Sus scrofa: one gene and its partners. The protein of the gene in region 2 interacts with the protein of the main gene of each other region in a pairwise test. Links are inferred from orthologs where the notes say so. Each region holds a gene or a part of one and is shown on either strand. Other genes may lie near its edges. The genes, in order: NRIP1, LDOC1, PSMA1, AP1M1, PEG10, ZGPAT and TNNT1.

The links.
Region 1: the proteins of LDOC1 (region 2) and NRIP1 interact in binary tests that used the Homo sapiens proteins (3 or more experiments, as listed by UniProt). The two-hybrid records come from large-scale screens. The link is inferred for Sus scrofa from reciprocal best matches to the Homo sapiens genes LDOC1 and NRIP1.
Region 3: the proteins of LDOC1 (region 2) and PSMA1 interact in binary tests that used the Homo sapiens proteins (3 or more experiments, as listed by UniProt). The two-hybrid records come from large-scale screens. The link is inferred for Sus scrofa from reciprocal best matches to the Homo sapiens genes LDOC1 and PSMA1.
Region 4: the proteins of LDOC1 (region 2) and AP1M1 interact in binary tests that used the Homo sapiens proteins (3 or more experiments, as listed by UniProt). The two-hybrid records come from large-scale screens. The link is inferred for Sus scrofa from reciprocal best matches to the Homo sapiens genes LDOC1 and AP1M1.
Region 5: the proteins of LDOC1 (region 2) and PEG10 interact in binary tests that used the Homo sapiens proteins (3 or more experiments, as listed by UniProt). The two-hybrid records come from large-scale screens. The link is inferred for Sus scrofa from reciprocal best matches to the Homo sapiens genes LDOC1 and PEG10.
Region 6: the proteins of LDOC1 (region 2) and ZGPAT interact in binary tests that used the Homo sapiens proteins (3 or more experiments, as listed by UniProt). The two-hybrid records come from large-scale screens. The link is inferred for Sus scrofa from reciprocal best matches to the Homo sapiens genes LDOC1 and ZGPAT.
Region 7: the proteins of LDOC1 (region 2) and TNNT1 interact in binary tests that used the Homo sapiens proteins (3 or more experiments, as listed by UniProt). The two-hybrid records come from large-scale screens. The link is inferred for Sus scrofa from reciprocal best matches to the Homo sapiens genes LDOC1 and TNNT1.

The regions. Positions count from the first base shown.
Region 1 is NC_010455.5:179,913,427-179,917,720, forward strand, and holds the start of NRIP1 (nuclear receptor-interacting protein 1), read right to left. Parts: upstream 2,801-4,294; 5' UTR 1,458-2,800; intron 793-1,457; exon of another isoform or gene 464-792; intron 1-463. UniProt on the Homo sapiens protein: Modulates transcriptional activation by steroid receptors such as NR3C1, NR3C2 and ESR1. Also modulates transcriptional repression by nuclear hormone receptors.
Region 2 is NC_010461.5:115,579,335-115,583,421, reverse strand, and holds LDOC1 (protein LDOC1), read right to left. Parts: upstream 2,801-4,087; 5' UTR 2,587-2,800; coding exon 2,146-2,586; 3' UTR 293-2,145; downstream 1-292. UniProt on the Homo sapiens protein: May have an important role in the development and/or progression of some cancers.
Region 3 is NC_010444.4:44,743,102-44,746,601, reverse strand, and holds part of PSMA1 (proteasome subunit alpha type-1), read right to left. Parts: intron 3,491-3,500; coding exon 3,387-3,490; intron 1-3,386. UniProt on the Homo sapiens protein: Component of the 20S core proteasome complex involved in the proteolytic degradation of most intracellular proteins. This complex plays numerous essential roles within the cell by associating with different regulatory particles.
Region 4 is NC_010444.4:61,362,129-61,365,628, forward strand, and holds part of AP1M1 (AP-1 complex subunit mu-1), read right to left. Parts: coding exon 3,498-3,500; intron 3,029-3,497; coding exon 2,957-3,028; intron 2,361-2,956; coding exon 2,202-2,360; intron 1-2,201. UniProt on the Homo sapiens protein: Subunit of clathrin-associated adaptor protein complex 1 that plays a role in protein sorting in the trans-Golgi network (TGN) and endosomes.
Region 5 is NC_010451.4:74,480,621-74,484,120, reverse strand, and holds part of PEG10 (retrotransposon-derived protein PEG10), read right to left. Parts: intron 3,482-3,500; coding exon 2,275-3,481; coding exon of another isoform or gene 1,127-2,274; 3' UTR 1-1,126.
Region 6 is NC_010459.5:62,647,488-62,650,987, reverse strand, and holds part of ZGPAT (zinc finger CCCH-type with G patch domain-containing protein), read right to left. Parts: intron 769-3,500; coding exon 635-768; intron 408-634; coding exon 252-407; intron 1-251. UniProt on the Homo sapiens protein: Transcription repressor that specifically binds the 5'-GGAG[GA]A[GA]A-3' consensus sequence. Represses transcription by recruiting the chromatin multiprotein complex NuRD to target promoters.
Region 7 is NC_010448.4:59,360,811-59,364,949, forward strand, and holds the start of TNNT1 (troponin T, slow skeletal muscle), read right to left. Parts: upstream 2,801-4,139; 5' UTR 2,796-2,800; coding exon 2,764-2,795; intron 2,655-2,763; coding exon 2,641-2,654; intron 2,398-2,640; coding exon 2,371-2,397; coding exon of another isoform or gene 2,326-2,370; exon of another isoform or gene 2,121-2,325; coding exon 2,088-2,120; exon of another isoform or gene 1,531-2,087; coding exon of another isoform or gene 1,317-1,530; coding exon 1,295-1,316; intron 1-1,294. UniProt on the Homo sapiens protein: Troponin T is the tropomyosin-binding subunit of troponin, the thin filament regulatory complex which confers calcium-sensitivity to striated muscle actomyosin ATPase activity.

The DNA of each region.
Region 1 (4,294 bases), on a different chromosome or scaffold from region 2:
CGGGGCGGCGAGACCCAGAGCTGCAAGGCGAGAAGGGCTCCGGGCCGAGAGAGCAGCCGAGCAGGGCACGACCCTGGCCCGGACCCCCAGTATCCGGCCCGGCTCCGGGGCCACCAGGCGGCCGCCCCACGGCCCAGGACCCGCACGGACCCGCCAGTGAGCCCGGAGCCAACTCCCCAACTTGCGGCCCCGCTGCCCGGGCCCCCCGAGTTCCCGGGGAGATTCGAACACCGCAGGAGAGGCAGGATTTCCCCGGAAACCACCCCCACACATCGCCCGGCCGCCGAGCCCACCGTGCTGTCCGCGTCCGTTCCCGCAGCAGGCAGCCCCGGCCCGACGCCCCGACGCCCCCGCGGCCCTGCCTGCCAACGCCGCCGCCGCCGCCGCGGGCCGCGCTCCCGGGTCGTTTCCGGCGGCGCCAGCGGCCGCTCCTCTGAGCCCCCCGGCCGCGGCCGCCACTCACCCGAGGCCGCCGCGGCTCCAAGCCCCGGGCTCCGGCAAGCTCACTCCGCCTAGGCGCCCCGCCGCCCGGTCCTCCCCCGGCGCCCCGGCGAGCTCTTTCCTCCGACCAGCAGCGCTGCTGAGCGCAGCAGCAGACGCGAGGCCACTGGCTGGCGCGCGGGCGTGGGGCCGGATCGTCCCTCCGCCTCGGCCGCCTTCTCCTCCTCCTCCTCCTCCTCCGCCGCCACGGCCGCCGCCGCCTCCCGAGTTCGGGGCTCTGCTGCAATGTCTGCGAGGCTGACTTTGAGCGCCTCGCTCGCCGCCCGCCCGCAGCCGCGCTCCTCCCTCCGCCGCCGAGTCCGCCGCGGCCCAGTCCCTCCCCTCGCCGCTCCACGCCATTCAGCTCTTCAGCCAAGTTTCTTAACCCTTTTCTCCCCCTCTTTCCCATTGTGGCCGGGGCGGGAGGCAGGAGCCCGGGTCCCGGCAGCACGCGGGAGCCGAGGAGCCCCCCTCGGTTGGCTGTTTTCCTCCTAGCCCGCCCTTCGGACTGTCGGGCGGGGGCTGCGGGGACCCGCGGCTGCGGGAGGATCGCGGTGGCGGGGAGAGGTAGCTGCTCCACGCGCTCGCGCAGTCCCCCGCGGCTCCCGGCTCTGTCCAGCCGCCCCCACCGCCGAAGGCGCCGGGACAGCTCGTCCCAGGGGCCCGGGGCATCGAGCTCATTCCACAGGGCAAATGCTCGCCTTGGGGGGCACAGCCCGGGGACCCGAACGCCCGGGGTCCCCTCCTGGGTGCTGACGCCTCAGGAGCCCCCTCCTTCCATTTCACCCCAGGACACGCGTCCCCTTGGCCCCTTCTCGCCACCCCCAACTTCCACCACCTTGTAATCTGTGTGTCTTGCTTTAATCTTGGGGGACAGGGGCACTAACTGCAGGTCACTTGGACCCCACGCCCAGCACGTAGGAGGCACCCAGGGATTAAATGCGGAGTGACTCCCAGAGGAAAACTGGGAAGGAGACCTGAGGAGTGCTCCGTTCGGCTCCCCAGACGGACGGAGGACCCAGGAGCAGGGTTTTTCTTCAGCTGCTTTGTCACTGCGAAGTCTCCAGCGGAGTCCGTCAGCGAATCTACATCATCCCCGGGAAGAATCTGACCCGACCAGACAAGGCAAAAGGCACAGGGCTGCCACTTCTTCAGCAGCTCTCCCTGGTTCAAGCTCCGAATAAGAAATAACAATTACATCACGAGGCTGGGGCGGCAGCGCGGTGGAGCCTCTTGGTTTCCTGCAGCCAGATCTCGCTGAACCCGCCTCTAAATTGAGGGGGATAAGGATTGGTGAAGAGAGAAAGTGGAGGGAGGAGAGAGTCATACGAAACCGTAATTTCCCCTTTCTCCCTGTATTTGCTGTTTTAAAATCTTATCCTCAGCGCTCCCCAGACATCTAACTAGAACTATTAACACCCCCTCAACACCTCCCCAGATGTCAGGTTTCTTTTTGACTACTAGCATCTAGCATTTAGTAACTCGCCATGAAAAACAAAATTACCGGGGGAAATGAGTACCGTTGCTGAAATTGTTTTTGCTTGCTCCGAAACGCTAAAGTGCAGCTTAGCCTCCCTTTAAACTCCGAAATGGCATGCCTGTTTTAAAACACTTATTACACAAAACAAGTGAGTGGATGAGGCATTCCATTCTTCTATGTAGGAAACCTTGTGAATTCCATAGCATTTGAAAATAGAGTTGCTGGTGCACTTAAAAAAAAGAACTATCCAAGTCATAAACAGTATTCTATGCCTGTTATGTAATGGCTGTGCTGTGCATTTAAAATGTCATTTAACCTTTACAAATATGAATGAGAGTTCTGGAATACCTTCACAATCTGAAAAGTGAAAGCAATTTTTCAAATTAATTCTTAAATCCAGCCCGTAGCACAGTGCTGGGTACATGGTAGGTTTATTTTGCTCCATGGTGATACTGCATTTTAGAACAATTCTTTTACATCACTCTGGTGGTTGATTCAACTGTGCAGTCTGTCGCCCTCTTATACAGTTTAGACCTCTTATGATAGTTTGTTATTTGCATATACCACTGTTTGAAATCTGTTCAAGACAACTTGGTAAAGTCTGCTGTTCTATAGCATAACATTAACCCAGGATTGATGCAAAGCCAAGTCTTCCAATTAAGTGATGATCAGCATAATTGGAGCTTGGCTCTTTAAGGAGTCAAACTTGTTTAAAAATAAAAAAAGTCAAACTTGTTTTAACTCTTGTACAAATGTTTTCTATGTATTATAAATATTTCTGTTTTCTAAAACAGTTTGGCTTTTTGTCGAAATTCTGGGTTAATTTTATTTAAAGTGTTTATTATATAGTAGGTTATAGTGGATTTAGCAACTACGTCCAGTTCCTGTTCTTTATCAGGCTTCTTCCAAGGTGTTAAGGCTGCTCCCAGGAGGTATATAAGCCATCAGTCTCTGCCCTGAAAGACTCTGGGATACTGGGACTGAGTGATTATCTCTGCCCGTTGTAGTTTCTCTCCCCCTTCTCTAACTGACAATCTGGTGTCTTTTCTCTCTTTTGCCAGCATGCCTGCCTCCAACATTCTCCTCCTCTTCTGATTGGCAGCTGCTAGTCTGGTGAGGTCTGAGAATCCAGATAGCCTCACTTGTCACAATACAGTCTAAAGTAAAACTGAGTGGGTTCCCTGGAAGGAACTAATGTGCTCACCAAGGAGTAAAGCACATGAACCTTAGTGCATAGATTCTGTGACACATTTGGACCGCTCAACTGTTGCTCTGAAAATATTCTTTTTGCTTCTTAGCAAGAGTTTTAGATGATTGCAGTTGGTAGATAAACAACTTCCTAAGTCAGGTTATATCAAGTTTTGGTCTTGCCCTCCAACACTAGTGTTAAAAAAGTCTGCTGCAATATGTTAGGTGACTTAACAAAGCTGCTCACCTCATTATTAAGCTCTCTTCTCAACCTCACAGAACTCCAATCATTGAAATCCTGAACTCTTTTTGGTAGTGCATTAGTGTTAAGTAAATTGCACACCTTTTGCAGAATTCATTTTTACTTAATCATTCTAATTGTGTTGGGGCTATTTTGTTGTTCTTTGTTTTTTTTTTTTTTTTTTGAAAAAATCAATACCTAAGTTTCCTGGCTAAGAGAGTCATTGCAAGGATACTGGGGCATATATGTAATATAAGAATGCCTATTCAGTAATTTGTGTAGTGAAGACAACTCTCATATAACCAATCGTGATGTGAAAAAGACACCCTTGAGCTTATATACTTAAACACACAAGTAGGTTTACAAACCCTGGGGTTCCTGTGGGCTCAGAGACTTACAGTTCGGGCTCAATATGTTCATCCCCCACAAAGAAGGCATCTGGGAGAGGCGTGCTTATGATGTGCTCCCTGAGTCTGTCCTGCTAGAGCATTGTTCACACCAGTTGGTGACAGGATGTTTAACCATTCTAAGTTCAAGTACTACAGCCCCAGGGGCCATATCCCTCTCGTTCACATTTGGGTACCTCCATCACTTATCCCTGGCACACTGTGTGTGCCAGCGGTAGCCATCCGGTAGATATTGGACAAGATACTGTCATAGCCACAGGACAGAGTCTTTAATTCTACTTGGGGTTCAGGTGTGGGGTAAGGCAATTCAGGGAAAGTTTTACAGAGAACAGAGTGCTTCAGCTGGCCATTCATAGGTAAGAAGAATTTGCCAAGTAGGCAAAGTGGAAAGCGGTTCTCAGAAAAGGAAAAGACTCTTTAAGTAGCAAAGTGTGAAGAAAACAAAAATGGACATTGAGAAGTATTGAGCCCACTTTCTACACCATGAACTAGTGACTA
Region 2 (4,087 bases):
ACCCTACAGAAACAACTTTCTTAGGTCCAAAAGATGACTCTTGCTCTAGACTTTGTCTGTTCACCAAGTAAACTGGTTTTCTATCTGACTTCATGTCAGATCCCAAAGAGTAAAAATGAACTCTTGTCATGCTCTCATTTCCATTCTCTCTGCTGAGCTTATTCTGCTCCTGTTCACTCCTAACACCTTCCTACTGAAGCCCAGCTCAACAGCAAGAGACCTGTTCCCTGTATCTCATTGAACCCACAATGTAAGGTTTATTGGTACAAATAAAACACTCAGCATCAAAAGGTCTTAAACAAGAAGGAATTTTATTATCTAAATTAGAGGTTCTAAAGTAGGGCTGGTTCCCGGCATGGTACAGAAGACATCTGGGCAGATACATGTAAGAATCAGAATTCTGAACCCCTCAAATCCTCCTGACAGTTCCTGGCTGGCAGCGATAGGCCCCACAAATCCCCTAATCAGGCTTCCCTGATTTAACATTTCAAAGACTTAACCTGGGGTTATGGGCTCACAAAAGTAGAGATTATTCTCAGCACTCACCCCACTCCCTTAGGGCCTCCAGCCCTCCAGGCCCACAAAAAGATCTCAGCACAGCTCAGACAGCATTACAAGATCTAGTATGGGAGATAGCCAGGCATCTTGTCGATTTCTACAGGCAGGAATCTGGGGCACACAGATGGGTGGGGATCTTAAGGGTTATCTGCCCAAGGAGGATGAAACATTAAAATCTGGCTCCACTTATGGGTGCATTTACCCAGGACTCAGGATTTAACATTAGCTCAAGCATCTAAAATCGGTATTGAAACAATGTGCTACCTTGTTTATGGAAGCCTGAACTCAAACAGCACCCTGCAAGGAATAAGAGTTAAGAGGCAGCACTTGCCTGGCAGGGCTGAGAAAGAACCCAAAAGCTCAGGAAGACAGGAATATGGTATGTGCCCTGATGTACGCCTATTGTCCCATTCCGATTAGTAATAGTGCCCCCTTTTTCTCTCGAGTGTCCCAGTTTGGGATGGTGTGCCATCTACTCAACTACCCCTTATTCATCCCATCCTGGAAGCCCCAGAGGACACTCACTTCACCAGGGCTTTAAAAAGTGCCTTGGTGAGGGGAGCACCAGTTTCCCTATAAAGCTCTGTAGTAGCAGTCCTCTATTGCCCAGACATGACAGTAGAGAATAATGGGATTGAACTAGGCTCTCTGATATCAGTAGGAATAATGGGAGTCAGGGTGAGAGTGGCAAAGGCCAATGATAGCACTTAACCATTAAAAGACGCTCTTTTTTTTCCGTAGTGCTTGATATTTATTGAAAAGAATGCAAATGCTTTTTCTATGTAGTATTGAGGAGCTGGGCTGAGTACCTGCTTTTGTCTGTCTGGTTTTTGTTTTTAGTATTTTTGTCCAAATGCACACAGCTGTGGGACTGCTTCAGTTTTAAAAGAAAAATGACAGTTGTGCAAAACTGGTGCATAAGAGAAATGTCAATAATTTGGCTGCCAGGCACAACGGGCCCCTGCAGCAACCTGGTGAGGCAGGAGAAGACTCTATGAGTTAGGAAAGGAGGGAACGAACCAGGTGCAAAGATTCGCCCCTCGTGGGGGGGTGGGGTGGGCGTGAGCAGTCCAAATCAATGTCCCAGGTGGTATAGCCAACTAAAAGCATCTTCTAGGTTGGTCCTTGTCTCCAAAGGCCTGGTCTGTCTGTCGCTGGAATGTGATGGAGGTTGGTTAGGTGGCAGCGTCGGTCTTTGGGCAGATGTAGGCCTGACAATCGGCAGGGCTGTGGGTAGTCTGACCAGTTTGTAACAGTCTGCCCTATAGTTGGGGCTCAGAACACAGTTCAAATTAGCAGGGTTGGGCCCTGGGACTGGCCTGAGTGGGAGGCAGCGCACTTCAGAGAGGCCCCAGCCCCAGCAGCAGGTAACTGTAGCACTATTCCCAGAACAAAGACAAACACTACGGGGGGGGGGGGGGGGGGGGGGGAGCGGTGAATAAGGAAGAGAACCAGAGCGAAGACTAGGAAGACTAGGGAAGCAGATAGGGAGCGAGGGAAGTGTCGCGGCTCCGGGAGGAGCGAAGCGGGGCGGGGGGTGGTGGCGGCGTGCAGGGCCCACCCCCCTAGGCCCGAGGGTCTCCCGGCCTAGTAATCAGCTTCTTCATCTTCTTCGTCGTCTTCTTCGTCGTCATCCCAGCCAAAACACTGCTTCATCTCATCGAGGAAGGCCCGGTAATCACCTAGGATGGGGCTATCCATCTCAATGTAGGGCACCACCCACTCTTCGGCTTCCCCGGTGAGCAGGCTGATTAGGAATGCCACCTTCATGGCGTCGTTGCAGAACCGGTTCTCGTTGACGAGCATGTAAGACGCCGTCTGCACGATAAACTCAGGGAGGCGGGAGCTCTCACCGTTAAACGTTTCGGGGAAGGGCACCGGGCAGCTCGGCGGACGTACCTGGCGCAGTAGGGTGGCCCTCTCGCACACCAGCAGCCGCAGCTGTTCCATGAGCTGGCTGTTCTCGATGCTCAAGGCGCGGTGCCGCATCAGGAGCGCGTGCAGCAGCAGTACCAGCTCGTCCACCATGGCGAACAGCTTGTAAGAGCAAGAATGGGCTCAGCTCGGTTCGGATCGGCTAAGGTGAGCAAGGAGGCCTTGCAGGAAGTGCGTGTCCGCGGAGGCGCGCGGCGGCCAGGGGCGAGAGGCGGTGCGCGCAGGGGTCCCGGCAGCTGCGCAAGCTCCACCCACACAGCGGCTCTGACGGCCGGCACGCCGGCGCCGCCCGCTTGGAGGGAGGCGGGCACTGGAGAAAGGAGGGGCGTGGCCAGAGTGGAGCGGACAGAGGGAGGGCGTGGCCAGGCAAGGAGGCGGGCAGGGTCTCGGGCTGCTGGCTCGCAGTTCTCCCGGCCCGTGGATAAAGGCAGTGGGGGGAGATCCAGCCCTAGATGCGGGCCAGGCCTTAGCCAAGGCCGAGCAAACGCTAAGATCCATCTCCCAGAGAGGGTTAACCTGCTCAAGTTTAAAGGATTAACCACCCTTCAACCCAAACGACTCAATGTTCCTCGGTGGGTCTGTGGCCACCAGATTCCATTTATGTGGTTTTAACACATTTCTTTGCGTGTTTAAATCTCCCTCACTCAGAGAACTATTAGCAATTCTGGCTGCACCGCAGGAGTCACATCCTTTAAGAGTTATGAAAGACGTTCAGGAGTCCTGTCTTTCATGACAAAGTAATACTTAAAAAGAGGTTTTTCTTTAGTTGTAAAATAATATTGTGTACCTCTATCCTTTTGTTTAAAATTACTTTTAAATAGCAAAGTGTAAAAAGTTCTGCAAAAGTTAGTATCCAATCACCATTTGCATGAGTCCTGCCTATCTTTGACTCTATTTCATGTCCTACTACTGGTTATTGTTCTTTGCTTAACAATGAACACATGTGTTTTTAAAATAGTTTTGTTTTCTACTTTGAATGTGATTATTCAAATAGTTGACAAATAAGTCAGGGTGAGGACCTTGGGGCCAATATATTTTTTTAGCTTTGCTTTTTAAATATATCAGCAGTTTAATTACCTGGGGATCTCTAAACAGCACTACCACCCTAAGGCCAGCCCTCCTTTCTCACACAGACTGTTGCAGCTCATCACTTAGCTTCCACTCTTCTCTTCCTCAAGTTGTGTGTGTGTGTGTGTGTATTATATACATACTCCAGAGTAGATATAGGAATCCTTTAGGACAAACATTAGATCTCTTTACTTTCCTGCTCAAAACCCTCCAATAGTTTTTCCCCCTTCGCTCAAAATAAAAACCAAAGTCTCGGTAATGGCCTATCAAGCCCTGCCTCACTCCCTTTGCCTTGTCCCAGTTCCTGCTCTGCTGTCATCACACTGTCCTTCTTGCTGAGGCTCACACACACTGAGTGGCTCTGGCCTCAGGATCTTTGTACTTTCTTTTTTGCCTCAGAATGTTCTCCTGGTTTTACTGCCTGACTCTTCCTCCATTTTCAAAGCGGACTTTCCTAACTACCTCATCTATCAGAGCACCCCACTCTCTGCCAGTAACCTCTAACGTTTGCCTTGCTTCATTTCTC
Region 3 (3,500 bases), on a different chromosome or scaffold from region 2:
AAGCTTTGTCTCACAGCACTTTATAGAATAGAGAAGGATAAGCAAGAGAAAAAGAACAATCTCTCTTCTTTTACCCTTGCCACTGTCAACAAGACTGTTCATTCAAAAGACTGTCTTGAACTAGCAAAAACAATACTTTTTTTCCTGAAAGCTGACAAAAAATTCCCCAATACAGCCAATACAAGAAATAGAATCCATTCCAAGGTATCTCTTAACATTAGCCTGCCAACATTACTTCTATCCAAAAGGAATACTTTAGAGGAGATATCAGACACCAGACTGTTGAGTCTCGCTGTTAAACTTGACAAGATTCAAGCAAGTATAACACTGAGGAAAAGGAGATTCATGTTTTACAATTAAAGCCAAGAGGATAAATAAGAAATAGGTACGCAGAGTTCCCACTGTGGCTCAGAGGGTTAAGAACCTGACTAGTATCCATGAGGATGTGGGTTTGATCCCTGGCCTCGCTCAGTGGGTTAAGGATCTGGCGTTGCCACAAGCTGTGGTATAGGTGGCAGATGTGGCTCGGATCCTGGGTTGTTGTGGCTCTGGTGTAGGCCAGCAGCTGCAGCTCGGAATCAGCTCCTAGCCTGGGCCCTTCCACATGCCACAGCTGTGGCCCTAAAAGAGAAAAAAAAAAAAAAAAAAGAAAAAAGAAACAGCTATGCATTTTTCTTTCATCTTGCTTTGTTTAGCTTACATGGATGTCACATCTGATGATCAAATGCTGGCTGCAGAAACCAAACTACTTGTTCACTACTTTAAGTTCACTTCCCAAGACTGTCTAAAACTGCACTGCCCTATAATATGGCAGGTACTAATTACATGTGACTAGTGAGCACTGAAAAAGTGGCTAGTCTGACTTGAGATATAACTATAAAATAAACATGAAATTTCAAAGACTTAATAAAAAAACAATGTAAACTATTTCATTAACAAAGTTTTTATGTTGATTACATATGACACAACAATACTTTGGAGAGATTGGGTTAAATAAAATGTCTGACAATGCGACATATTTTAAAACAGCTAAAAGAAACCAGTAATGCTATCACTATGTTGCTGACCTAAGAGAACAAGGAGCTTGCCAGACAACTTGAAAATTTTAAACATTAGCATTATTATTTACCCTTAGTGTTTATATTCTTTCTTTCCTAATTAAAATCACAGACTTAAGTGATTACTTTCCCCCTACTACCTCCCACACAACACCTGAAAGACACTGTGGGCCAAGAGGAAAATAAAGAACTCTTGGCTCTGGCTATTGCCAGGACTAGAGTGGCTGGTTCTAGCAGTGACACAGAGCTCAGAGTGGCTGAGACCCTGTGAGGTAATGACAGAGCCAGGGCAAATAGGAGGAGCAGGGGGTCTTTTCACTCCTGCCCAGGAAGCTGGTGGTGCAGGCCAGTAGATGTGACTGCCCACTAAGCGCAAAGCAGTAGCAATTAACAAAATCGAACATGCTAACAAGAGCACTTGGGTGGTACCAAGTGTGAGCCTTGGGAAGTTTGGGAAAGCCTCATCAAAACAACCAGGCGTCAATGACCAAAATCAATAGCAACAGGACTCTAGAACAACTGTAATCCAGGCCTCCTCCCAGGGGCCTCTATTTACATTCCCTATTTCTAAGGTGGAGGAGAAAGGGAAACAAAGTCTCCAGAACCACAAGTGGCAAACCAGCAGCACACCTGATGGTTTTCAATACTGGCTGAACACAATTACTGTGTTCCCAGCCCTGGGTGATGGAGGGGCAAGGGGCAGAGCGCGGCAGCCACTCACTCATGCCACAGCCTCAACCTCGGATTCCGATTTGCTCCAAGTTCCTCTGCAAAGACATCTCACAGGCCATTGAGAGCAGTGAGGGAAGAGTCTGGGTTCTGGCAGCGTTGAGTCCAACCACCAATCTACTCCACATCCCCAGGCAACACACTGAGTCGCATGCCTTAGGGTCCTATCATGGGCCATGCCCCCTCACGGTAGCTCTGTGATCACCGCAGGGGACTGATATACTGGGACTGTCAACTGTGCAGGTGCTATTTACAGGTATGAAATGATTATCATTTAGGCCTCATTCAATCCAATAAATGTTTACAAAGTTACAATAAGGGAAGATTTTAAGAACCAAAAAAAAAAAAAAAAAAGGACCCTTTGTCAAGTGCTCCACATGTTAGGCTATTTATCAATAAAATACTAAGAAAATTAGGAGTTTAAATAATTAGACCAATATCAGATACTAAGTGCTAAAAGTGGGAACTAGGAGTTTCCATTGTGGCTCAGCAGTAAGGAACCTGACTAGCATCAATGAGGATGCTGGTTCAATCCTTGGCCTTGCTCAGTGTGTTAAGGATCTGGCATTGCCATGAGTTGTGGGGTAGGTCACAGACAGATCTCAGATCTGGCATTGTTGTGGCTGTGGCTGTGGTGTAGGCCAGCAGCTGCAGCTCTGATGTGACCCCTAGCCTGGAAACTTCCATATACCTCAAATGCCACCCTAAAAAGCAAAAAAATAAAAATAAAATAAAAAACAAAGGAGTTCCCGTCATGGCTCAGAAGAAATGAATTTGACTAGCATCCATGGCGACTCAAGTTCAATCCCTGGCCTTGCTCAGTGGGTTAAGGATCCAGTGTTGCCATGAGCTGTGGCGTAGGTCGCAGATGCAGCTCAAATCTGGCATTACCATGGCTGTGTTGCAGGCTGGCGGTTTCAGCTTGATTCAACCCCTAGCCTGGGAACCTCCATATGCCATGGATTCGGCCCTAAAAAGTCAATAAAAACAATAAACAAATAAATAAAAGTGGAAACTAAAGTCTGTGTGATTCCAAAATGTCAGTTCTTCATTTACATAATGCCTCTCAAATAGAAATAATCTCTATCTGGTCCCATACAGAAGTATACCTGTTACTCTCCACTTTCTTCTGTGTATTAGACATAGAACTGATTCTAATTTCCTAGAAGATGAGATCTATATCTCATTCACTTTTTACACCCTGCAGCATCCAGTACTGAGCTTTGCAAAAAATAAACATCAAATAAATACTGGTGTATTAGAGAAAGCAAAGGTGGTTCATCTGATCCTCGCAAACCCAACAAAAGTGTCAAGCTCTTCTCAGACATAATATCAAACACTATACACTGAGTTAACAAGTATCACATCATTGAATGACTTCTCAAAGGCATTAATATTAGTATGGCTAATTCTATTAGTTACTACACAGAGGATCAAGAAATGGGATACTGAGTAACTGAGCCCAACTTCACTAAGGTATACACAATCTTCTAAACATTCTGGCAGAATAGAATACCTGTAAAACATCTGGATCTTTTCTAGAATATAATCAATTATGAATCAAGAGATGTTTCCTTTGTTTTTCATGATCATACTCACCATAACAGTCTAGCATCGGCAGTAAGTCCCGCAATTGAGATACCGATATGGTTATCAACATGGAGGATTTTTTTCTGATGAGCTGCAAGTTCTGATTGTGCCCTCTAAATAGAC
Region 4 (3,500 bases), on a different chromosome or scaffold from region 2:
ACTGTGGAAAGCAGTATGGAGATTCCTCAGAAAACTAAACACAGAACTACCATTTGATCCAGCAATCCCACTCCTGGGCATCTACCCAGAAAAAACCACTACTCGCAAAGACACATGTACTCCAATGTTCATTGCAGCACTATTTACAATAGCCCAAACATGGAAACAACCTAAATGTCCATCGACAGAGGAGTGGATCCAGAAGATGTGGTACATATGCACAATGGAATATTACTCAGCCATTAAAAAGAATGAAATACCAGCTTATTTTGCAACATGGATGGACCTAGAAACTATCATGCTAAGTGAAGTCAGCCATACAATGAGACACCAACATCAAATGCTTTCACTGACATGTGGAATCTGAAAAAAGGACAGATGGAACTTCTTTGCAGAACAGATACTGACTCACAGACATTGAAAAACTTATGGTCTCTGGAGGAGACAGTTTGGGGGGTGGGGGGATGTGCTTGGGCTGTGGGATGGAAATCCTGTGAAATCAGATTGTTATGATCATTATACAACTACAGATGTGCTAAATTCATTTGAGTAATAAAAAAAAAGAAAGAAAATATACCATGAAGCTCGCCAGAATGCATGGATAGTTCAAGATCTATCCCATTAATATATCTGAATGAATAGACAATGAAGAGGCATTTGGCTAAATTCATTGCCCATTTGTGCTACAAACACAGTAAAGTAGGATTGGAGTGAGTTGCAGCATCAATATACTTGGAAGGGAAACCTGGCAGCTCCATTTGAGGCAAAGCCAGGAGGCTGCTCTCTCCACAGCCACTTACAGGTGCTGGAGATGGCAACCCCAGCAGTGAGATGCCAGAAGCCACAAGATGCCCAAGAATAGAAGAGGAAAAGGGGAAACTGCACCTGGCTGTGAACGATATGAAAGAATAATTATGAAAGTTGAAAGAAAAGCTACAGCAAATAAGAAATTTAGTAGGATACCAGGATATAAAATTACCATATGAATGCTGGCAACCTATACTGGAAGATATAATGGAAAAGGAGGCTCCATTTACTAAAACATTGATTTAAAAATCATCTTAATGAGAAATGTGCAAAAGCAGAAGAGATCCTTGGGGTGTCCTGGGGATAAAGAGTGTTTGGTGGCTTTTATCTGGCACCAGATACACAGATGTATTCTCTTGGAGAAAATTCTTGATCACATATCATATGTTACTATTCTGCATGTTACAGTTAAATTAAAGTACCTTTAAAGACACTGAGGGAGTTCCTGCTATGGCACAGCAGATTAAGAACCCAGTGTTGTACCTGCAGTGGCTCAGGTTGCTGGGTTAAGGTTCTAGCATTGCTACAGCTGTGGGGTAGGTCACAGTTGCAGCTTGGATTCAATCTCTGGCCCAAGAACTTCCATATACCGTGGGTGTGGCCATGGGGAGGAAAAAAAAAAAAAGCCATCAGCAAACTGAGGAAAACTATTTCCAAGTCATGTCAAAGAAAAGGTACTAATCTTGCCCATGTATAAAGAGCTTTTGGAAACCAAGAAGAAAACGACCAAACGGGACAAAAAAGTGAGCCAGAGACAGCTACTACAGTTTCCAGAGAAACGCAAACAGCGCTCTGAAACATAAAAATGGTGTTCCAGCATGTTTATCACCGTAACAGTGATGGCCTGGTGTGATGGCCTCACACTTGTCTTCCATTCTCTCCTTCCTGTCTCCCCAGGCACTCTTCCCACAAACCCAGGCTCAAGTGCTCAGATTGAATACAAGCCAATGGGCCATGCCAGCATGTGGAGCTGGCCCAGGCAGGAGGTGCTCTCTGTGTCTGGAGCTGGTGCTGGATTTCCTAAACCATGTGGTCTGGCCCCAGAGCAGTCTGTTCCCCTGGAGGGGAGCTGAGCACTGAACAGCAGTGCCAGAGGGAAAGGAGGAGGGAGGGCTGGGCACTGCCCTGATGCTGAGGATAGGCCGGTTCACAAACAAGAGGAAGGTGGGGTGGCCTGGAGCCAGCGCCACCCCCTGCCTCTGCCTGCTCTCCTTTCAGCACTCCATCCACTCTCCCTCCTGAACCTTCCTAAAGCCCCAGGTGGGGATCCTGCCCTGTGCCGTTAGAGCTGCAAGGCTCCCCAACAGTCAGGTTGCCATGCTGTGCTGGGCACAGGGAGCAGGTGAGTGTGGGTGGAAGGCTGGAGGGGGCGCCCCACTGAGAAAGGTGCTCACCGGGAAGGACTTGATGGACCACACGATCTCACTGTTCTCGGGGACCCACTTGACGCTTCCCACTGTTGTCTTGAACTTGGGTGAGTCGGCATCGTTGGGCACGGGTATGTGGATTTCCACGTTGTTGGCTGTTGACCGTCGCTTGAATTGGCTCTTTGCCTGGAGATGAGGGTGGAGGGTGAAGGTGAGACAGTCCAGCTCCCCCGACTGCCTACTCCCTCGAGGGCCACATGTCCCTTGGCCTGACCTGTGGGATGCCCAACTCTGACACGGAGCTGACCCTCACGCCACCCCTTGAGATCTTCCTTAAGCTCAACTTCAGAAGTTCGGTCTCTGCCTTCCTGTCCCCTTGGCCTTTGGGACTCCTCATCCCTTCCTCTGGCCCAGCCCTGGCCTCCTGGGACAATGTCTGTGTCACCATGGCTTGCCTGGGCTTGATGAGATCACTGAGTGGCAAGATGGCACACCTAGATGCTTGGTCACAGGCCACTGCCATGGTGGCCGCACCTAGGATCTGGGTGGTGTGACCCCTCCCTGCCCCAGACCTGCTCTCTGTGTGAGGTCAGAGAGGGGCAGCACAGATGACAGCCACAGGCCTGACACCTGGGGGCAGGGGTCACAGAGCCCCGGTATGCCCCCAGTCCTGGGTTAGGGCCTGTGCCAAAGGCCAAAGGCCTGTACCAGGAGGGGCCGCCCATACCCCCCTCAACAACCCTGCACTCCCAGCTGATGCTGCATGCAGGACACACACATACCTTGATCATGTATTCAATGCGGCTGTGGGAATGCTTTTCAATCACAGACTCAATCCAGATCAAGGGCTTGACCTGTTGGGGAGAGTGAAGACGGTACTCAGACCTGGTGATTTTACAAAGCCCCGCTTCACAGAGGGGAAACTGAGCCCCAGGGCAAGGGACCACTTGGCCAGGTGTGAGCCTGGGGCACTGCTGCCCGGGGTGCTTGGAGGAATCCAGAGCTGGTGCCAGGATGGGTCAGAGCATAGAGAATAAGGCATCCAGCAGCTGCCAAGCCTTGGTGAAAATGCAGAAAACATCACCAGAGATGTTCTGCTGGGGCTGCCTGGAAACAGAGCAGAGCAAAGGGGCCTGACCCCTCAGAACGTCGGAACCTTGCCTTGTCAATCAGGCTCCTAGGAGTCCAGGCTGCCTGTGGGGAGCTGTGTTCATCCTGGGCATCACCTCGCAGTGAGACTCACCCTGGATGGGGATAGTTCCCACCCAGCCAAGCAGACAGGAGAGGCTGCCCTCAGGGAGGAGCAGGGGTGGAAGCACTCACGTG
Region 5 (3,500 bases), on a different chromosome or scaffold from region 2:
AAGCATCCTAGTGCTACAGTTTTGTGAGGGGATTGATGATGAAATGCCCAGATGTATATGGAGGCAGAGACATGGATAGATGCTCCCGAGACTTCAGGTAATGCTCTTCCAGCCATTAACAACGTTCATGAAAATCCATTCTGAAGTTCCAGGTCAAGTTGGTAACATTAACTTGGAGTCTCTTTTTTAAGAGTTGGGTACGGGATTTAGGAGTCCTTTTGATATTAGCCCTCACACTTGGTTGAGAGGTGATCACATTTCACAAACATCTAACATACCTGGAGTCACCAATAGTCTCTGGTTACCAGGTTTAACATTTTGTGGAAGCCACTGCTGGCATGATGATGGTAAGGTGTTGTGACAAAGTCAGAGTTATTGGGTACATGCGATTTGCACCAGGATGTGAAGGCACACTCAACATGCAAACATCCATCTCACAGCATTTCCTTCTGAGGCCTGAGGTGTTTCTGCAGCAGGGGTTTTGCCTGCTCCTAGGGGAACCAGTCAAATTGCCGCTCCTTGAGTCATGAGAGTGGAGTCTGAAGATGGTGAAGTTTCAAAAGGGTGCAGCAAAAAGATCACGGAAGCCATTCACACTGCACCAATAATTTTGGCTTCCTTAATAAGGCCTCGGTTCTCCAATGATGTAAAGAGAGTACCGAAACTGCAAGAAGGGTCATGTCCTCCTCCTCCTCCTCATCTCCCCCTCCATAAAGAAAACAGTATTTCCTGTATTTGCATCAGCTTCTCAGTAACTGTTAAATGAGGAATCTGGCAGCCCATAATTGAGTTGGTGACAGAGGTTTCAGCAGGTAAACCCAGGCTTCCAGGGTTTGCTGGGAAGTAAACTTATTACGAATTTTAATTAGATTGGCAGTTAAGGTGGAAAGCATAGGTAATTTGTTGGTACATATTTTGTCGCTCCCATTAAACAGCAGAGGCTGTTGGTGCTTTAGAATGTGTGCCAGTCCACGGTGGCCCTGACCTTTCTAAGCCATTTCAGAAAAAACCTGTGCCTCAGGTTGGCTTAAAGATGCAGTAGCCCAATTTAGCACACAGTCACTGATTGAGAAGCTGAACAGGAGTTCATTTTGAGGGCAGAGATCCGGAAGGACATGACAAGTATTTACATGGCGCTGTAAGACGGTGGTGGCGGCGGCGGCGGCGGTGGCGGCGGCGGCTGCGGCGGCGGATACTGGGGCACCGGCGGCTGGCGGTACCAATGCGGGTTCCAGGTGATCATCACAGGGACATAGAGCGATCGTCCATGTCCGTCTCGCCCCACGGGGTACCAGGCGAATCCTACTGGGTAGGTCGGGTACGTGGCATACGCGGGGTAGGTTGGATATCCTGGTATTTGAGGTACGTATTCGGTGTATGTCGCCAGGTGAGCTTGATCATCTAAATTTGGAATGGAGAGACGAGGGTACTGGTTCTGAATGGTGAAATTGTTGGGAGCTCGGCAGTCGTAAGAAACTTGCAGTTTCCACCCCCTTTTCACCTGGAGAACTTGGGCTCCATTGGGTGCGATGGTTGGAGTAATCAGCCCATCTTTCACATTTCTGGCCACGAAATCTCGCAGAGCTGCCATTTCAGGTTCTGACAGTGAGTACACGTGTCCGCTGGGAATACTGTGTGCTCCAGGGATCATTTCTATGTTGGGGTCAACCAGACGGTGGTCTGGGTAGACGTTTTCGTCTACTGGAGTGTACACATTCTGGACGTAGTAATACCTCACTGGCTGGTAAACTCTGTACCCTTCCACCGGGTAATAGAATGACGGTTGTGCTGGTGGTGGGAGCGGTGGTGGTATTGGAGAATACATCCGGCAGTGGTATCGGCAATATTCAGAGTCGAAGACGATCGATCGGGTGCTCCACGTGATGTTGGGATCGTGTGTGCTCAGCCAGCGCACCCCTAGGACGATGGGGAAAAATGGAGACTGAGTCACATCGAATGACAGCACCTCACGGTGATCTCCCAAGTCGACTATCAGGTCGTGTGTTTCGTGGACAACGGGGCCCGATGCTATGGGACGTCCATCAATCGCTTCTACAAGTATTGGCCAGTCCTTGACCCTCAGAGGAATGCCATTCTGAGCGACGTATTCGTGATCAATGAAGTTGCCGGAAGCACCAGAATCGATCATGGCTCGGACGAACAGGGTGTGTCTGCCAGGAAGATGAATCTGGAGCATCACTTGCAAGTGTGGAGATGAAGCAGCATCATCTTGTGGGGACCTTATTAATTCCGGCCCGGTCGCTGAAGGTCCCTCTACAGCGGGGCCGGGGAGTTTCCCGCCGGCGAAGCCTTCGAGGCCTTGGCAGGACAGTTGTCGGCGTAGTGACCTCCATTCCCACAGTAGAGGCACAGGTTCAGCTTTCTGCGTCTTTCTTTTTCTTCTTGGGTCAGGCGCATGCGGGCACCTCCCACGGGCTCGGTGGGATCCACCTGGTGGTGGTTGCTGACATGAGGCATCACCAGCGCACGTGGTGGGGAGCGTGGCTTGCGCGCGGCGGCAGCCCTGGCCAGCCGTCTCTCGATGTGGATGCACTGGCCGATCAGGGCGGACAGCGACTTGGCGACTTCAAGGCGGGACAGCTCTGCCTGAATGTGGTCACTGAGGCCCTCGTGGTACTGATCAATCAGTGCAGGCTCGTTCCAATCCAGATCCTGTGCAATCATCTGGAACGCGTTGGAATAGTCGATGACTGACCCCATGCCTTGGCGCAGACGTCTGATTTTGCGTTTGGCAGCCTCGCGGCGCTGAGGGTCTTCAAAGACGTGCTTCATTTCGGTCATGAAGGCTGGGTAGTTGTGCATCAGGTAGTGGGATCGCTCTAGCTTGGCGGAGGCCCAGCGGGCAGCACGGCCGGTCATCATGCTTGTCACGAAGCAGACGCGGACGCGATCGACGGAGAAATCTCGGGTGCTCTTTTCCATGAAGAGCTGGCACTGGGCCATGAAAGGAACCAGCGCGTCTGGGTTGCCGTCAAATTTCTCAGGAAGGTCTTCTGAGCACTCTTCCTCGATGGGCGTGGCTGGGGCAGCAGCAGCTGCAGCACCGCACAGCTCAATGTCGTCTTCCTCTTCCTCAGGGGCGGGCTCCACTTGCTCACGGAGGGAGGTGTTCTCCTCTGTGAGTTTCTGCACCTGGTTCTGCAGGTTGTTGTTCTCCTCGGACTGCTTCATGACCTTCTCTCTGAGGTTGTTGATCTCTTCGGAGAGATCGTCCCGCCTTCGCTCTGCCAGATTGGGGTTGTACTGGCCCCTCTGGCCTCCGCAAGGGGAGGAGGAGTTGGAGGAGGATGGGTCGTTGGGGGGAGGAGGAGGAGGAGGTGGTGGGCAGTCGGGCCCCAGGGTGAGAGATGGGGTGGGAGGAGACCTCCCAGGTGTAGCTTCACTCCTGTGGGGATGGAGGCCTGGCTCCTGGCCTCCTCTTCCGCCCTTTCGCCTTTTGGTTTTCAGAAGCTTTTTGTTTCTGTAAATGAGGATAAAAG
Region 6 (3,500 bases), on a different chromosome or scaffold from region 2:
GCTGTTGCACACAGCCCCTCCTCCACCCTCCAGGCACCCAGGCCCTGAAGGAGCGCCCTCTGCGCGTCACGCATGCCGGTCCCTTCCTATGCGCCCCCTGCCCCCGTGGCTCGTGTGGGACCCCATGCCTTCTGGGCTTCTCCGTCTGTGGGGCTTCGGACCTGCCCCCCACGCCTGCCTGCGGGGCTTTCCTCCCGCCAACGCAGTCCCACCCCACCTCCCTGCTCTGGGGCCCCGAGCCGCAGCCACACCTCGCGCATAGCTGGGGTCGTCCGCGTCGCTGTTGTCTGAGTCAGAGGACCCCGTGGGCTCCGTGCGCAGTGGGGGTAGGATGCTGTCCCCTTCCACCACGGCCTCTTTCAACAGCAGAGAGTCAAACTTGACCGTGTAGTAGCCACTGTCCACATCTGGAGGGGCACCAAGGCAGCAGGTCAGCGGCTTTGACTCGTGGTAGGAGCCACACTGGACACTGGGAACAGGGTGGGGATGAGGCCAAGGGTGGCCTTGCTCCTCCTGGGCATGGAGTGGGGTCCCAATGCCCAACGACAGGAGGGGGCACCCGGGACTAACACTGTGACATGTGCAAGGGCTTCCCAGGAAAAGCCCCATCAGGGAGGCCCCTGGAAAGCCTCACCAGTGATCCGTGCTGGGTACCAGAGGCCATCCTGCTGCTTGGCCAGACACGCAGAGCCGGCCTGCAGGGAGCTCAGGTCCGGGTCCTGGAAAGGGCGCAGCTCGTCCACAGAGACCACCTGCCCGTGGGAGAACCTGCAGAGGGGACCGCAGAGTGTGGACTCAGAAACGGGCCGCCAGGGCCCATGAGAGGCCAGTCGACATGCCTGGGCGCTGCCCGGAAGAGAGGGATGGCCAGGGGAACAAGGGCAGCCACATGCACGTGCACAGATTGCACATGCCCGAACACGCCCACACACTGAGCACAGGCACATATGAATGCACTCATGCACAAACCCAGGCACACGTGTGCACACGCATGTAAACACCAACATGTGTACAGGCATACGTGCACACACCCACACAAAATACACATGTACAGCACACACGTGCACACTCTCTCACACACACATGCACAAGTGCACCTCTACGCACGTGCATACAGATGTGCACACAATACACACAGATACACAATCATGCATAGATGTGCACGCGCGCACACACAGCACATACACCCGTGTGCACACGCACACACCCGTGGTACATATGCACACGCGTGTGTGCACACACATGCATAGGTACCAGGCTCCCACTCTCAGGACAGACCCGGGTACCCCAGGGGCCAGGTGTTGGGAGCCATTCCCCAGCCTCCAGGCTAGTGCCACGAGGGGGCTGGCAGCCACCCTGTGATCAGAACCACCTGCTCCCACGGCCTCCTGGCAGACGCGGAGCCCAGACACTAACGGGCGATCAAGGCGCGTGTGTCCGCGTGTGTGCACAGGGCTGCCCTGGCTTCTAGGCATCCGTGAAACCAAGTGGACACCAGAACAGAGGGAGGAGGAGGAGGTGTGAGGACAGAGCGCGGCGACCTTTCACTCTGCCCAATCGCGACACAAAGGAACCACCCGCACATCTCCTCCGAGCCGCCACCATCTCGGGAGGAAGCCCTTCTAAGCCTCGAGGGCATCCGCTCCAGGACGGGGCACCAGCTGCTGGGCGCGGATCCGGGGTGAGAAAGGTGAGGAAAAGAAGGCATTTTCGTCATCTCCCGGGGGGCACAAAGCTGGCCTCAGACGCCTCCCGGGCAGGATTCGGTTCCTTCTCGCACCTGACTGTCCTCAGGCACCCAGGGCACTGCCAAAGATCAAGCGGCACCAGCAGCTGCGAGACCAGGCCCCACGTGTACTGCAGGGGACGCTGTGGGTGAAAAGCCCTGTTCATCTGAGGAAAGAGGCCTAAACCCAGGGTGCATTTGGCCCCTGCACACCCCACACCCCCCAACAAACCTCTCTGCAAGAATCCTCAGGAACACGAGAAGCCCTAAAATCCGGCAGCTTTCTTAACCGGGCAAGTGCTTCTAAGAAGCGGCCCCACGAAATAACAGTGAGGCGTTGCCACTGCAGTGCAGGAGCTCCCGAATCCGACTGCAGCGGCTCCGCTGCAGCTGCGGCTTGGGCTCCGTCCCTGGGCCAGGAACTTCCGTGTGCCGTGGGTGTGGCCGTAACTCAGCATCGTCTTCGTAATGACAATGAGGAGAGTCCCGCAGACTTAGCCACAAGCACCTTCACCAACATGAAAGACTCGGAAATAACCCACATTTCCAGCCATGGGGTGAAGGGCGAGCGTGGGAGGCCGGATGACCCGGGGCGGGGGTGGGGGGTGGGCGCACAGCCGGGAAGAGGCCCCCTCGCGCCTGCACCTCAGGCGGGACCGAGGCGTCTCACCGCCCAGTCGGGAGAAGAGGGACGACGGACGGCTTTCGTTCACGAGGACAGCGTTAAAGATGGGTTCCCCAAACCCGACCCCCCAACGACCCCCCACTATACTCGCCACACCACACTCCAGAATAAGTACAAACTGGAGCCAGAAAAGCAGTGTTTAGAAGGGTTCGACACCAGGGCGCAGCGTGGTTTAGCCCGGGAACGCCAGGGGGGTTCAACGTGGGCGACCCATCCAAGGAGACGGCGCCCGAGCGGAAGGCAGCGAAGAAACACCCCTTCACACCACGGACACAGAAGGATAACCGAAAACCCCGACACCCTCGCATGACGAAAACACTCCACAAGCCACGGGTAGAGGGAACTCCCTCAGCCTGATAAACAGCGTCTGTGGGGAACCCACAGCTGCCATCACACCCAGCGGTGAAAACCTGGGTGCTTCCCTAAGCGCAGGAGCAGGACAAGGACGGCTGCTCTTGCTGATCTCATTCAATACAGTACTGGAAGCCATTTAACAAGAAGGGAAATAAAAACCACCCCACCTGGAAGGGAAGAAGCAAAACTCCCTATTTTTTCAATGACACGGTTGCACACATAGAAAATCCTAAACAGGACACGCGGGCTTTAAAGGGTTAGCCTGCCAGGGCCCCCTTTGCCTGGCAAAGCAATAAAGCTATCTTTTTCTCCTTTATCCAAAAAGAAAGAAAGAAAAAGAGAAAGACCTAAATAATCCACAAAAAATCCTATGAATCAATGAACTCGGCAACGTTAGGGATACAAGATCAACAAATAAAAGTCAGTGGTGTTTAAACACACTAGCAACAAACAGTCTAAAAGTGACACTGATTTCATTCACGACGGTGTCAAAAGGAATAAAATACTTAGAAGCATATATAACCAGAGCTGTGGACTACACAACACCGCTGCAAAGAAATCAAAGACTTAACATAACTGGAAGGAGACCCCACCTTCAAAATTAGCCGACCTAAGACTGTTAGGACGGCAACACCCTTCAAGCTGACTGAGATACTCAGTGCAGTTCCTACCACAATTCCAACCATCTTTTACCCAGAGACGGACAAGCTGATTTTAAAACTCCCAGGGAACCGC
Region 7 (4,139 bases), on a different chromosome or scaffold from region 2:
GCTGTCTCCTTGTCCCCTGGTGAGAGTTTTACCCTCTGATTCATTTGTAGGAAATGCTAGTGATTAATATCATTCATCTGTGACTTGGATTCTCCTCAATTACTGAGGATTCACCAACACTGGTCTCCAGCTCAGACTCTCTCCCAATCTCCAGACTCCAGGTAACGGATGGCTCCATGCCCCAGCTGAGCTCCCCAACCTGGAAATCTCTCCGTCTGTGGCCCCCTTTCCACCCCCTGCCCCCTGCCCAGGCTTAGGCCTTCTTCCCTGAAAACTCACCAAATTCTACAGTTCTCTGGCCATGCCACATGGCTTCACGCCCCCGGGCCTTTGCACATGCTGTGTGCTCAGCTTGCAATGGCCTTCGCCTGACATTCTCCGCACCTGAGGCCTTCCTGCCTCCAACGAGCTTTCCTGATGCTGCAGCCCAGCTGTGTCCTCACTCCCATCTGACTCTGCCTCCTCATCCCTCAAGCCGTGGTGAAACTCCACTGTCCACTGCATCTCATGCTCAGATTGCAACACCAATCTCTGGCCCCAAGGTCCCCACCTCCAGGTCTCCTCTCCCTCTCCCAAGGAGCTCTCACAGCCTGGCCTCCACCTGTCTGCAGAGCTTGGATCCTCAAAGACTGGCCGAGATCTGGCCGCTGGACCTTGCACCTTCTGCATTGCTTCCTCGACTACAATCTCTCCCACCTCCTTCAATTAGCAAACTCCCAGGACTCAGGGCAGCACCTCCCCCAGGAAGCCCTCCATGACTGCCACCGGGCATAGCTAGGGCCTCTTCTGTGCTACCATCTTTGTATCTGGGTCTGCTTCACCAGCAGGGCAGCCACACTCTGACTCATCAAATACCATGGGAAGTTCACCAGAAATGTTTGCTGAAGGACAGAATCACTGTCCTTTCGTAGGTGTCCCTCCCCCTCTCCTCTGTCTTTTTTTTTTTTTTTTTTTTTTTCTTTTTTGTCTTTTGCCTTTTCTAGGGCTGCTCCTGCGGCCTATGGAGGTTCCCAGGCTAGGGGTCCAATCGGAGCTGTAGCCACCGGCCTACACCACAGCCACAGCAACGCGGGGTCCGAGCCGTGTCTGCGACCTACACCACAGCTCACGGCAATGCCGGATCCTTAACCCACGGAGCAAGGCCAGGGATGGAACCTGCCACCTCATGGTTCCTAGTCGGATTCATTAACCACTGCGCCACGACGGGAACTCCTCCTCCCGTCTTTTTTTGCACCCTGTCTCTGAAGGCAGGGGCTAGATCTAAGAGACCCCACCCCCAGCCCTAGGATCTCACCTTGGCTTGGGGCGCTCCTCTTCTGTTGGGGGGGGGGATACAAAGACACAATTAGCAAGAGTTTGTGGGCGTGGGAGGACGCGACACACCCAAAGGTGGGCCCTCCTCGCCCCCCCAAGACTTGGTCCCCAGGCCCAGTTCCCTTGTCCTGCAGCCCTGGGGGAGGGGTATGGCGGGGGTAAAAGAGGAGAAGGGAAATCGGGGTGGCCGTAAAGGGAGGGAGGGGTCACACGCATCAGATATACATTCAGAACCGGTGTGGGGATTCCCCCCCTCCACTCGCTTCGCTGGGAAACCAGGCTTCCAAACCCCCCACCCTCCTTCTGCAGACCCAGAGCTCCTGCCCTCCTCCCCAAGCCCTCTGTTCACTCGGGGACCCTGGAGTTGTGTCCCCAGCCACCTCCCCCTTGGGGACACAGGAATCCAGACCCCCACTGCTACCCCCTTCTGCAACCCAGGCCCCAACCTTTGAATGTATATGGGGGAGAAAAATAACAGGCGAAGATGAGAGGGGAGGAGGGGTGCCTCTCCGCAAACATCCAACCCTTCTATAAGTATTCCTCCAGTCTGGGGAAGAAGGCTTGGGTGTCGGTCCCTTTAAGAAGGAAGGGAACGGGTTAAAGCCGCTGCGAGGCTATTTCCCTTCGTGGCCACCAGAGGGCGCGCGGGCTCTCCGGGGCTTAAAGGACCGGGTCCGGGGCGGGTTATGGGGGCGGGGAGGGAGTTCTCGTGGAGGTCAGGGCCCAGAGGACACCCCGCAATTGGTCTCAGGAAGCGAAGCAGCCGCGGTTACCTCGCTCTGCCACCGGCTCTGGCTCCTCGGGGGCTGGGGAGGGGGCAGGAGGAGAAGCGAGGGTTTGGGGAGCCAGGGGAGGGGAGCGGCCAGGCCCGGATGCAGGGGGGGAGAGAGGGGAGAGAGGGGAGAGGCTGTTAAAGGAACTGAGGCCGAGAACCCCGAAAGCCCCGCGCCCCGCCCGGCCTGCACCCCTGGACCAGCGGGCCCCCCACCCACCCGCCTGTCCCCCACCCCCCCAGACCTGCGTCCAGCTCCAGACCTGCGGAGTCCGGGGCCTCACCTTCCTCCTCCTCAGCAGCCTCCTCTTCTGGAAGGGGTCGGGGAGAGAGAAGAGGGGTTAGGGGCCCAGGGGGACCCGGGGTGGAAGGGCTTTCAGAGAGGGGACCCAGTGGGTGAGGGGGCAGAGACCCAGGTTCGGGCTCGAGTCTCAGCTGGGCGGGGCGGGGGGGGGGACCCGTCAGCCTCAGCGGCCGCCGGGCACGATGGGCTTTTCCCTCCCAGGAGGATGGGCGTCGGGCCGGTCGGGCGGGGTGGGCCGAAGTGCACTCACCTTCAGGCTGCTCCCTGAGGACCCGGGCGGGGAGAAAAGAGGGAGGGGGAGAGTTAGGCGCCTCGGAGGCGGAGGGGGTCTCCCCCGCTCCGAGCCCCCAGCCCTCCCGCCAGCATCACTCACTCCTCATATTCCTGCTCTTCGGCGTCAGACATCCTGGCGTGACCTAGAGAGGCAGAGAACGGGGGTCCAAACGAGGGACTCGGGATCCCCGACCTGGGGTCCCGACGCCCGGGTCTGAGGGACGAGGGGCTGGGGGCTGGATCCTGGGTCTGACGGGGGGGGGGGGGGCTGGGGCTGGACCCCTGGGTCTGGAGGAGGAGGGGCTGGGGCAGGACTCCAGGGTCTGAGGGAGGAGGGGCTGGGACCTGGACCCCTGGGTCCAAGGGAGGAGGAGCTGGGGGCTGGATCCTGGGTCTGAGGCCGGGGGCCTGGGGCTGGACCCCCGGGTCTGAGGGAGGAGGAGCTGGGGGCTGGACCCCTGGGTCTGAGGGAGAAGGGGCTGGGGCAGGACCCCTGGGTCTGAGGGAGAAGGGGCTGGGGCAGGACCCCTGGGTCTGAGGGAGAAGGGGCTGGGACAGGACCCCTGGGTCTGGGGGAGGAGGAGCTGGGGGCCCTCAACTCCCAAAGATTCCTAAACCGCGGATGAAGACAGGGCTTGGGAAGGTATGGCCCCACCAACCCCAAAGCCACAGGCCCCACCCCCTCACCACAGCTGCCCTCTTTTGTCTTATGACAAGTCCTTTGGAACCTGATCTGAGGAGGGATTAGGGGAAGGTATTTGGGGAAGACACAGTGGCCTGAAGACAATAGCTGCCCCACCCCCAAGGGCTATTTTGGGGGGATGTCGTGGAGGGTGACACAGAGGACATCTAAAAAGTATTCTAGGAGGAGGGGTTCTGGGAGAATTCATCATACCCACTCCCCTCTGCCACCCTTGTCCCCTCCCCTTTGGCTGGTTATCAGTCACCTTCACCCACAGCTGTGGAGGGGACAGGACACACAAGAGCAGCTTCTGTCCCCAGACCTCATCCTGACCCCTAAATACTAAGACTCCCCCAAATCTGAGGTCCCCAAATCTTAATACCCACAGATCCCAATTTAGGAATTCTGAAGATGGCTAAGTCCTCATATCTCCGGATTCTGACACCCCAACTGTTGATACTCCAGATTATGGGCCTGGCCACCCTAAAACCTTGACCCCCTCAGTCTTGAATCCTTAAATTTGGGAACCTTAAGCTTATGAGACCCCAAAACCTGGATGCCCAGACTCAGGGGCCCGATTCCTGATACCCCAAAATATGACTCCACAAATTCTAATACCTCCAATCATAAGATTTCAGATCCTGAGACCTCAATTCCTAAACCTCCAGATTCTGAGGCACTGCCCGCACCCTGGTCCTGACACCCAGACTGTCTGCCAGCCGAGCCCAGAGGTTCCCAATTTCTTTTCTTACTCCTTCTTGAATTATTATTTAATTTTATTGGAATAGAGTTGA